Linked DNA regions of Pelodiscus sinensis. The protein of the gene in region 1 purifies or fractionates together with the protein of each later gene. This does not show direct contact. Links are inferred from orthologs where the notes say so. Each region holds a gene or a part of one and is shown on either strand. Other genes may lie near its edges.

Region 1 (3,905 bases):
TTTTTCTGTCATAAAACATTATTTTAGTTTTTTCAAGAGCCACCTTCCTTCTGCTCTGTTGTTGAAGTAACTGCCTAGTCACGTGGACCAGACATATTACAGATTCTGTTAGAATTCAGCATGGCCTATTTGGATTTGGGGACCACTGGCCTGCTTCCTGGGGGTAGGGAAAATTCAGCCTTTCTAGAAAACATTTCTTCTTCTTTTTTTTTTTTTAAATGTGGCATCTCCCCTAAGTTGCAAAATATCTGCTGGGTCACCAGAATAAACTGTTAGCTCAACGTGCGAGCAACCAACGACAAAAGGCCAAGAGCATGGAGAAGTCTGTGGGCTTCTGAAAAAAAAAATCTACTGGAAGAAATTATACTTGACACTTTTTCCATGTTTAAAGGCGAGAGAAAGGAAATTGAAGATTTCTCCCTGTGCTGTAATTATTATCTTTGAGAAACTGGGCTATTTTCCTCAGTTCAATTCCTTTAAACTACACCTTGGCCCAAAATGAGAAAATAAGCCCTCCTTCCCATTTAGAAAAATAAAACAATTTCTTTTTAAATATTCAAAATTTTAAATTAAAAAAAAGGATTTTGGAGTGAACAAAAGAGCAGTGAACTGCACAGTATCTTTAGCAAGATCTCAGCAATTCACCCTCTTGGCCCACACCTACTTTTTTTCCTTTTTTGTTTGTGTGTGTGTGTAAACTTACTTCCAAATTAATTTAGACAAAGATGACATGTAAAGGTGGATCACCAGAACGGATTCATGCCTAGCTTTGGGCAGAGATAATTGTTTCTTCAATTTAATTTCACATTCACCTAATTGTGAGGATAAACCTCTCCCCCAGCTCCCAGTAAGTTAGCTGTATCTTTGCAACGAGAAAAAAAATAAGAGGAATTAAATCATTGTATTACCTTTGCTTTTTAGGCACTGAATGTTCAATTTCTAGCTGTTTTCCATGCAGTTCCACTTTCCCTAAAAACAAAATGTGTCTTTTTTAAAATCTAAGTAGGGTGGGATGCAGAAAGCTTTGGGCCTCATTCTTGCCCATGGCTCTTTTTTAATGCCAGTGGCCTACACAGACCAACTGCATTTTCTGATTCCTCTGCGAGGGCACTTTGTGAAATACAAAACTGGTTTCAAGCTGGGGGGGAAGGCATGAAGGATAGGGGCTTGTGGGGAGGGAAATGTGGGCTAGGGCTCTTGGATTCCTTCGCTCCCCCGGGCTGTGTTTGGACCAGGGAAGTCTCTGCTTCAGCAAAAGGGAAGAATTAAATGGGCAGCTCGAGTCTTTGCTGCTGCTTTTGTGTGGGAAGCTCTCTGGGGCAGAATTGTGTCACACAAGAGAAAAAAAAATGTCCCTCCCTGGAACGAAGGGGTTTCGCCCTGAAACCACGGGGAGAGCCGCCCTGCCCCTGGTTTTCATCTGGGGGGCACAGGAGGGTTTGGATTGGGGCGCGCCTGGCATCCTCAGAAACGTGTTTGCTTCCCTCCTAGTTTCTCTCGGGGAGAACAGCATGGCGACCTCCGCGCTACCCACAGCCCACATGCCCCCAGCAAGCCCCAGCTTCGAATCAAAATGGCTCAGTCCAACGCCCCCCTCCCCCACCCCGCTGCAGACGGGACCCCCACCCCGATCGCGACCCCCCACGCCTTGCGGGGAGCCATGCTGGGGGGCGGGGGCTGGCTGCTGGGAAGCCCCGAAGGGCCCAGTGCTGCTGGAGGGAAGCGAGGGGCTGGATTCAGGGGGCCCCCCGCCCGGTTGTGGGGGGCTCTGGCTGCAGGGGGGAGGAAGAGAGGCTCCCTGATTGAACGCAGGGGAGAGACTCGGTCCGGCCCAGCTCTTTGGGGGGCAGGGAGGGTGAATCGGGGATTTCAGGTCCCCACTAGGGACTTGGCTGGGGAATCCCGGGTGCTGGCCCCGCGTGGCCTTCGCGGCCCCCACGCGACTCGCTGCGGGGGGGGGGCAGCTTTGTTATTTGGGCTGTTGGGAGGCCCCGAGAGACGCCAGAGGATCCGGCCCACTCGCGAAATGGGAGGGCCATGCCTGAGTTGCGTGTCCACCAAGGCGATGGACGGGGGTGGGGGGCAGGAGAAAGCAGGGAAGGGGGGGACTAGAAGAGCAGCCCCCCCTTTCCTGAGTGGGGCTATTTCTGCGGGGCGGGGGAGGCTAAAAGAGATGTGGTGCCGCACCAGGAGGAAAGGGGGGGGGGGGGGGAGAAAAGCTGCTTACCAGAAAAAGTTTCGATGGCTTTCATGGCCCATTGGTCATCGGGGCAATCCACAAAGGCATAGCCCGATTTCACCAGAAACTGGCCACTGAAGGAGATCTTGTGCTCATTGAAGACTTTCTCCAAATCGGCTGGAGTCACGTTTTCGTTTAGGTTCCCAATGTACAGCTTGTTCATGGTTGAGCCCCAGCGATGTGGCTGGTAGGTGGGTGGGTGTGAAGAGGGGAAGGGGGAGGGAGGGCTCTGAGGGCTGGGGAGGGGGGGGACCAACTTTTCTTTGCGGATTCTTGGTGGGGGGCGGGTTTGGCACGTCCACCCCCCGCCCTTTTTTTTTTCCAAAAAAGGGGGAAAGTTCCCAGTTCAAACTGGAGCCCAAGAGCTGGGAAGGCGAGTTGGTTTCCAGGGGGGGGTCCTCTAGGGAGGGGCCGGGGGAGGTGGGATGCCTCGTGCTTACAATGGGGGCAGGGGGTGGGTTCAACTGGTATGGCGGGCTGGGGAAAAGTGCGGCGGCTGGTTCCTTCCAGCCTCCAACTCCTGCGAGTCGCGCTCGGAGCCCGCCTCTAAATAAAATCGACCTGGAAAAATGAGTGAAAATGTTTGCAAGAGGAAGCCACGTGGTGGGGACCAAGGCCCGGCCCCTGGAGTGGGAGGGGCATGCGGGCTGGGCAGGCCCTGGGTGGTGAGAACAAAATTTACTATTTTATTTACTATTTCCCAAGGTAGGCTTTAGAGTGGGGGGGGGGGCACCCCCCCCACTTCATCTCCGTCTCCTCGCCCCCCTCAGTCTTCTCTCAACATCACCCCCCCCCACACACACAGCTGCCCCTTTCCCCTCCCCTCCCCCCATGGCTTCCAAGGGCTTGAATGGGATTTGCCCGGTGTAAACTTCTTAATCAAAGGGGAAACGTGGAGTCCCGGGCTTTCCGTGGGCATGGTAACCCACCTCCCGGGATCAGTGGGGGGCCCTAAACACCACTCGATAAGAAGAGATTCTTTGGGAGGGACAGGAAGATGTAACCCTGCCCCCCCCCTTCTGTTGGAGGAGCACTGAGAAGGGAGGAGAACTGAAGCCACAAAAGGAGGAATGGGGGGAGGGGGCTGGGAGAAATTCTCCAGGAACTAGGTTGAGGCAGGGGGGCAGATCACGTTGCCGCGACTGAGAAGGGTGAATGAAATCCTTGCTTCTCGCTTCCCCGCCCCCCGTTGGTTTTCGCAGGGTGCGGGCGTTGAGAACCGGAGGGGGAGGAGGGAGTAAGGGACAGAAGTGCACATGGTCTTCCCCTACCTCTCCCCTCCAAAAGGGCGCATGTTTGGATCTGCCAAGAAGCCAGAGTGTAGACCCCACCCAAAATCCTAACCACATGGGGGGGGAGGGGCCGGGAATTGCTGAGCATGAAGGGGATTCCCGCGCCCCCAAATCCTGGCCACATGGGGGGAGGGGCTGGGAATTGCTTAGCATGAAGGGGGTGTCCCCCTGCGTCCCACAATCCTGGCCACATGGGGGGAGGGGCTGGGAATTGCTTAGGATGAAGGGGGTGTCCCCCTGTGCCCCACAATCCTGGCCACATGGGGGGTAGGGCTGGGAATTGCTTAGCATGAAGGGGATTCCCGCGCCCCCAAATCCTGGCCACATGGGGGGAGGGGCTGGGAATTGCTTAGCATGAAGCCCCCCCCCCCCCC
Region 2 (3,905 bases), on another chromosome or scaffold:
TAAATAGCTATCCTGGAATGGCTGTTTCCAATATAAGCGCCAATGTGGGAACTTATTCTAAAGTAAGAGTGCCTACATAGGGCTCATACCAATATAACTATTGCAGGGTAATTAATCCAGAATAGCTATTACCATAAACTTTCAACTGTAGACTAGCCCTGAGCTAGTAAGTAAGTGCTCTGGGCTTCAGAAAGTACAGGCCCGTGAAAATCAGAAGTCTGATAGAACCATTACATCTCTGCTCTGAAGTTCTCACAAGAACATAAGAATCAAAAACAAGACGACAGAGTGAAGGTTCCTCAGACTGCTTAGAGAGGCAAATTTTAAAGAAAGAGAGTGAGCTTCAGGCAGATGACAATAAGCTGTTCCAACCACAGAAAGGGACAGAAGACACAAATCTAGGATTGAGGAAAGACAACAAAGGTTTGAAGAAGACAAAAAGATAAGAAGCAGAAAATGAATAAGAAGAGATGAGACAGAGAGGGTAGGGGTTAAAGTTTATGTAGGACTTTCTATGAGTATTGTGCTGATTTTATATATTCATAGACAGGAAGCCAAAGGAGGATCCCAGTAACATTAAGTCACAAGAAAAAAGAAAGATGATTTTGGCAGCAGCTTTACAAACAGAGAGAGAGAGAAAGAGAGGTCAGACAAGCGATTACTCTAATAAAGCCAGAAAGCAACCAGGATATGGATAAGGATTTTAGCAGTCAATACAGGACACATTTTGAACAAAGAAGCATCAGGTGTTTCCACAACACACTTAATATGGGGCAAAGAAGAATTAAAGGTCACAGCAAGATTACCAACAGGGACACAAGAAAGTGAAGTTATCAATGGGAACCAGGAAAAAAAAATTAGAAAAGATTAGGTCTTCTTATCAGTAACTAGAAAAAAAACCCTAGTTACTAAGGTGCTGCAAGACTACTTGTTGTTTTTAAAGTTTTTCCAGTTACAGACTAACTCTGCTACCCCTCTGAAGCTTTTTATCAGTAAATAGTTACAGTACATCCCTCATTATGGAATGCAAGATGCATATGGCTGGACACTAAAGATATCAACATTAACTAAATAAATTGAAATGCACAGGGAGTATGGAAGTGTCATGAGTATTCAGGGACAATAACGAATTTTTAGATGGCAACGAAGTCAGAAAGAAGAAAGTATACAGAAACAACAAAAAAACTAAAGAACAGTAGCAAACTGAAAAAGAGGTATGGAAAATTGTTCAAAGGAAATGGAGTTGTCAGCAACTCTATTTGTACAGCACCCTGTCTATTCAATAAATACAGCATCCATGTGCAAAATATTGAAGACAGAGAAATATCAAGAGGACTAAGTCATCAACCACATCAAAAGCAACAAGAGAACCCTTCTAGATGACCCATCCTCTTCCTCCATACCCACCATATCAACACCTCCACAACCCAACACGTTGTCACATGTACTTCTACCAGTGCACAAAAGACACTCTCCCCAACATATATACAGGCAGTCCCCAGGTTACATGGATCCGACTTACATCGGATCCCTACTTACAAACGGGGTGAGGCAACCCCGCACTAGTTGCTTCCCCCCAGCAGACCAGGGAGACGCGGAGCGGCTTTTCTCAGCAGACACCTCCGCTTGAGAATAAAGGCCTGAGGGAAGTGAGGTCTGGGAGAATAAAACTGAGCTCTGGAGAAATGTTTGGCTAGAGTTTCCCCTACAATATGTACCAGTTCCGACTTACATACAAATTCAACTTAAGAACAAACCTACAGTCCCTATCTTGTGCGTAACCCGGGGCCTGCCTGTACCAATCAAAATCCAGGACTATGCAGCACTTGAAAGACGAACAAGATGGTTTATTAGGTGATGAGCTTTCGTGGGCCAGACCCCTCAGATCTGAGCAAGTGGGTCTGGCCCACGAAACCTCATGGTCTAATAAACCATCTTGTTCGTCTTTCAAGTGCTGCACTGTCCTGTGTTGTGTTTCAGCTGCCCCAGACTAACCGGCTGCGTCTCTACCACTGCGCCAGCCAAGTGGCCCTGACACATCCCCTTGCTTGCCTCCCAGCACCCCCCCCCCGGCCCGATCCCCGCACACGCCGCCCCCAGACGTGGGCGTCCCCTCGCCCGGCTGTGCACCCGCAGGTGATCCATCGCCTCTCGCTCACGCCGCGGAAGCCCCCCCGTGCGGCACCAGCCCCGCCGCGGGCTCAGCTCGCTCAGAGCGGGGAGGCTCGCGCCCGCCGGATCCCCGCGCGCCAGCGAGTGGGAGATTTAAACGCAGGAGCGCGCGGGGCGGGCGAGCGGGCTCCGCTCCCTCCCCCACCCCCACCCCCGCTCTGAGGAACCAGGGTCGCCCCGTCCAACGGGCCTGCCTCCGCCCCTCCCCCCGCACAGGCCCGGCCTCCCCCTGCAGGCCGCGGCGCCGCTGCTCTCCACACACACAGGCCCCAGGCCTGCCCGCAAGCCCCGGCCCCAGCCTCGCTCCCGGCCCCAGCGCGGCCCGCTCCTCCCCCCGCCAGGAGACGGGGCCCGGCCGGGCCTCACCTGTCGGCAGCGCCAGCAGGCCCTGGGCAGCAAGAGGGTAACGGCTCCTCAGCGCGTACAACCAGCCTCTCGCGGCGCCCCTGCCCACGCCCACCGACCCGCATTGGTTACTTTGCGCACGTGGCCGGCGTCCTATTGGACCCACGTCCCGTCCGTCAATCGCCCCCCGGGGGCGGAGTCTCCCATCAGGCGGGAGTGCAGACCGGGTGGGAGGTGCGGGCCGGGAGTGGGAGGGGCTGGGGATGGCTCCTGGCTACCTGGGCTGCGCGCTTAGCCCACGCGCCCTGTCTCGTGGTGCTCGCTGGCCCCGGGGGCAGCCCTTGGTTGGTGGCTGCTTCCACCGCTCACGTTCCTTGGAAGGCTTCGGTCTGCTCGTGTGTAGCTGGGCTGGTAGAGACAATGGCGCTTCTGGCAGCGAATACTGATGCTCACCATTCAGTCCCAAGCATTTTTGGCCAAAGTAAAATCATGGACCCATGAGCACTTTCACCTGGCCTGGCAAGCAGGCGTCTTCCTGCCTGTGAGGTACCAGGTTGCCCCAATTTTACTTGTAGAGCTAGAGCAAGGCTTAGCCCTCTCCCTTGTTCAAGAGCAATACAACAGTAAGGATGAAAAGCAAGAAGCTGGAATCGTTGAAAAGATCTGGCCAGGGGCACGCAGGACACGCTATGCAGACAGGTTCATGGCACTGGGCAGCCCAAATACAGAGGTGAAAACCAGTGTGCCCCAATGTGGCCATGTTGCACTCCAGCAAAAAGAAGCCTGCAGGCTGGGCACTCAGCTGCAGCTGCTCCTAGCCAAGTTCCTAGGGCTCTCCCAGAGGCTGCCTTGCCCCTCCCATTCCCCTCTCCTCCAGGACTGCCCCATCCCCTAAAGCTTCCACCTCTGCCCCACTCCGTTGAGGAAAAGTGGAGGGTTGCAACCCTATGTACCCAGAATTTTGTTGCTCTTCCCTTCCCTTGACTATCAAAGAGTGAGGGGAAAGTGTGCAGCTTGGGAGCCTTCTTCTCACTCCTGGCTGCCCAGGGGAGGAGCAGAGGAGATTCCACACAAGCTGCACACTTCCCCTTGCTCCCTGATGGTCGGGAAAGAGGAAGAGCAGCAGCAATCCAGTATGTGCAGCTGCCTTCTGCCACCCTTCCAAAATGACACCCTTCACTTACCCATACAGCACCCAGCCGCCTGCCCTGACCCCCCCAACCTCAGCTCCAAACCCTGCCTGATTCCTGCACCCCCAACATTCCCCTGACGAGCCCCCATTCTCAACACCCACCCCTTATTTCTGAACCTCCCAAACATCCTGCCCTGAGCCCTCCACACCCTCCGCTCCCTACTCTAACTTCCCACCCCAGCTCCCTGCCCAGATT

Evidence for each region.
Region 2: the proteins of IGF2BP1 (region 1) and ELAVL1 purify together in Homo sapiens (co-immunoprecipitation; 3 studies listed by BioGRID and IntAct, with this or other methods). This does not show direct contact. The link is inferred for Pelodiscus sinensis from reciprocal best matches to the Homo sapiens genes IGF2BP1 and ELAVL1.

What each region holds. Positions count from the first base shown.
Region 1 is NC_134739.1:14,417,738-14,421,642, reverse strand, and holds the start of IGF2BP1 (insulin-like growth factor 2 mRNA-binding protein 1), read right to left. Parts: upstream 2,815-3,905; 5' UTR 2,403-2,814; coding exon 2,228-2,402; intron 970-2,227; coding exon 909-969; intron 1-908. UniProt on the Homo sapiens protein: RNA-binding factor that recruits target transcripts to cytoplasmic protein-RNA complexes (mRNPs). This transcript 'caging' into mRNPs allows mRNA transport and transient storage.
Region 2 is NC_134729.1:30,214,710-30,218,614, reverse strand, and holds the start of ELAVL1 (ELAV-like protein 1), read right to left. Parts: upstream 2,674-3,905; 5' UTR 2,539-2,673; intron 1-2,538. UniProt on the Homo sapiens protein: RNA-binding protein that binds to the 3'-UTR region of mRNAs and increases their stability.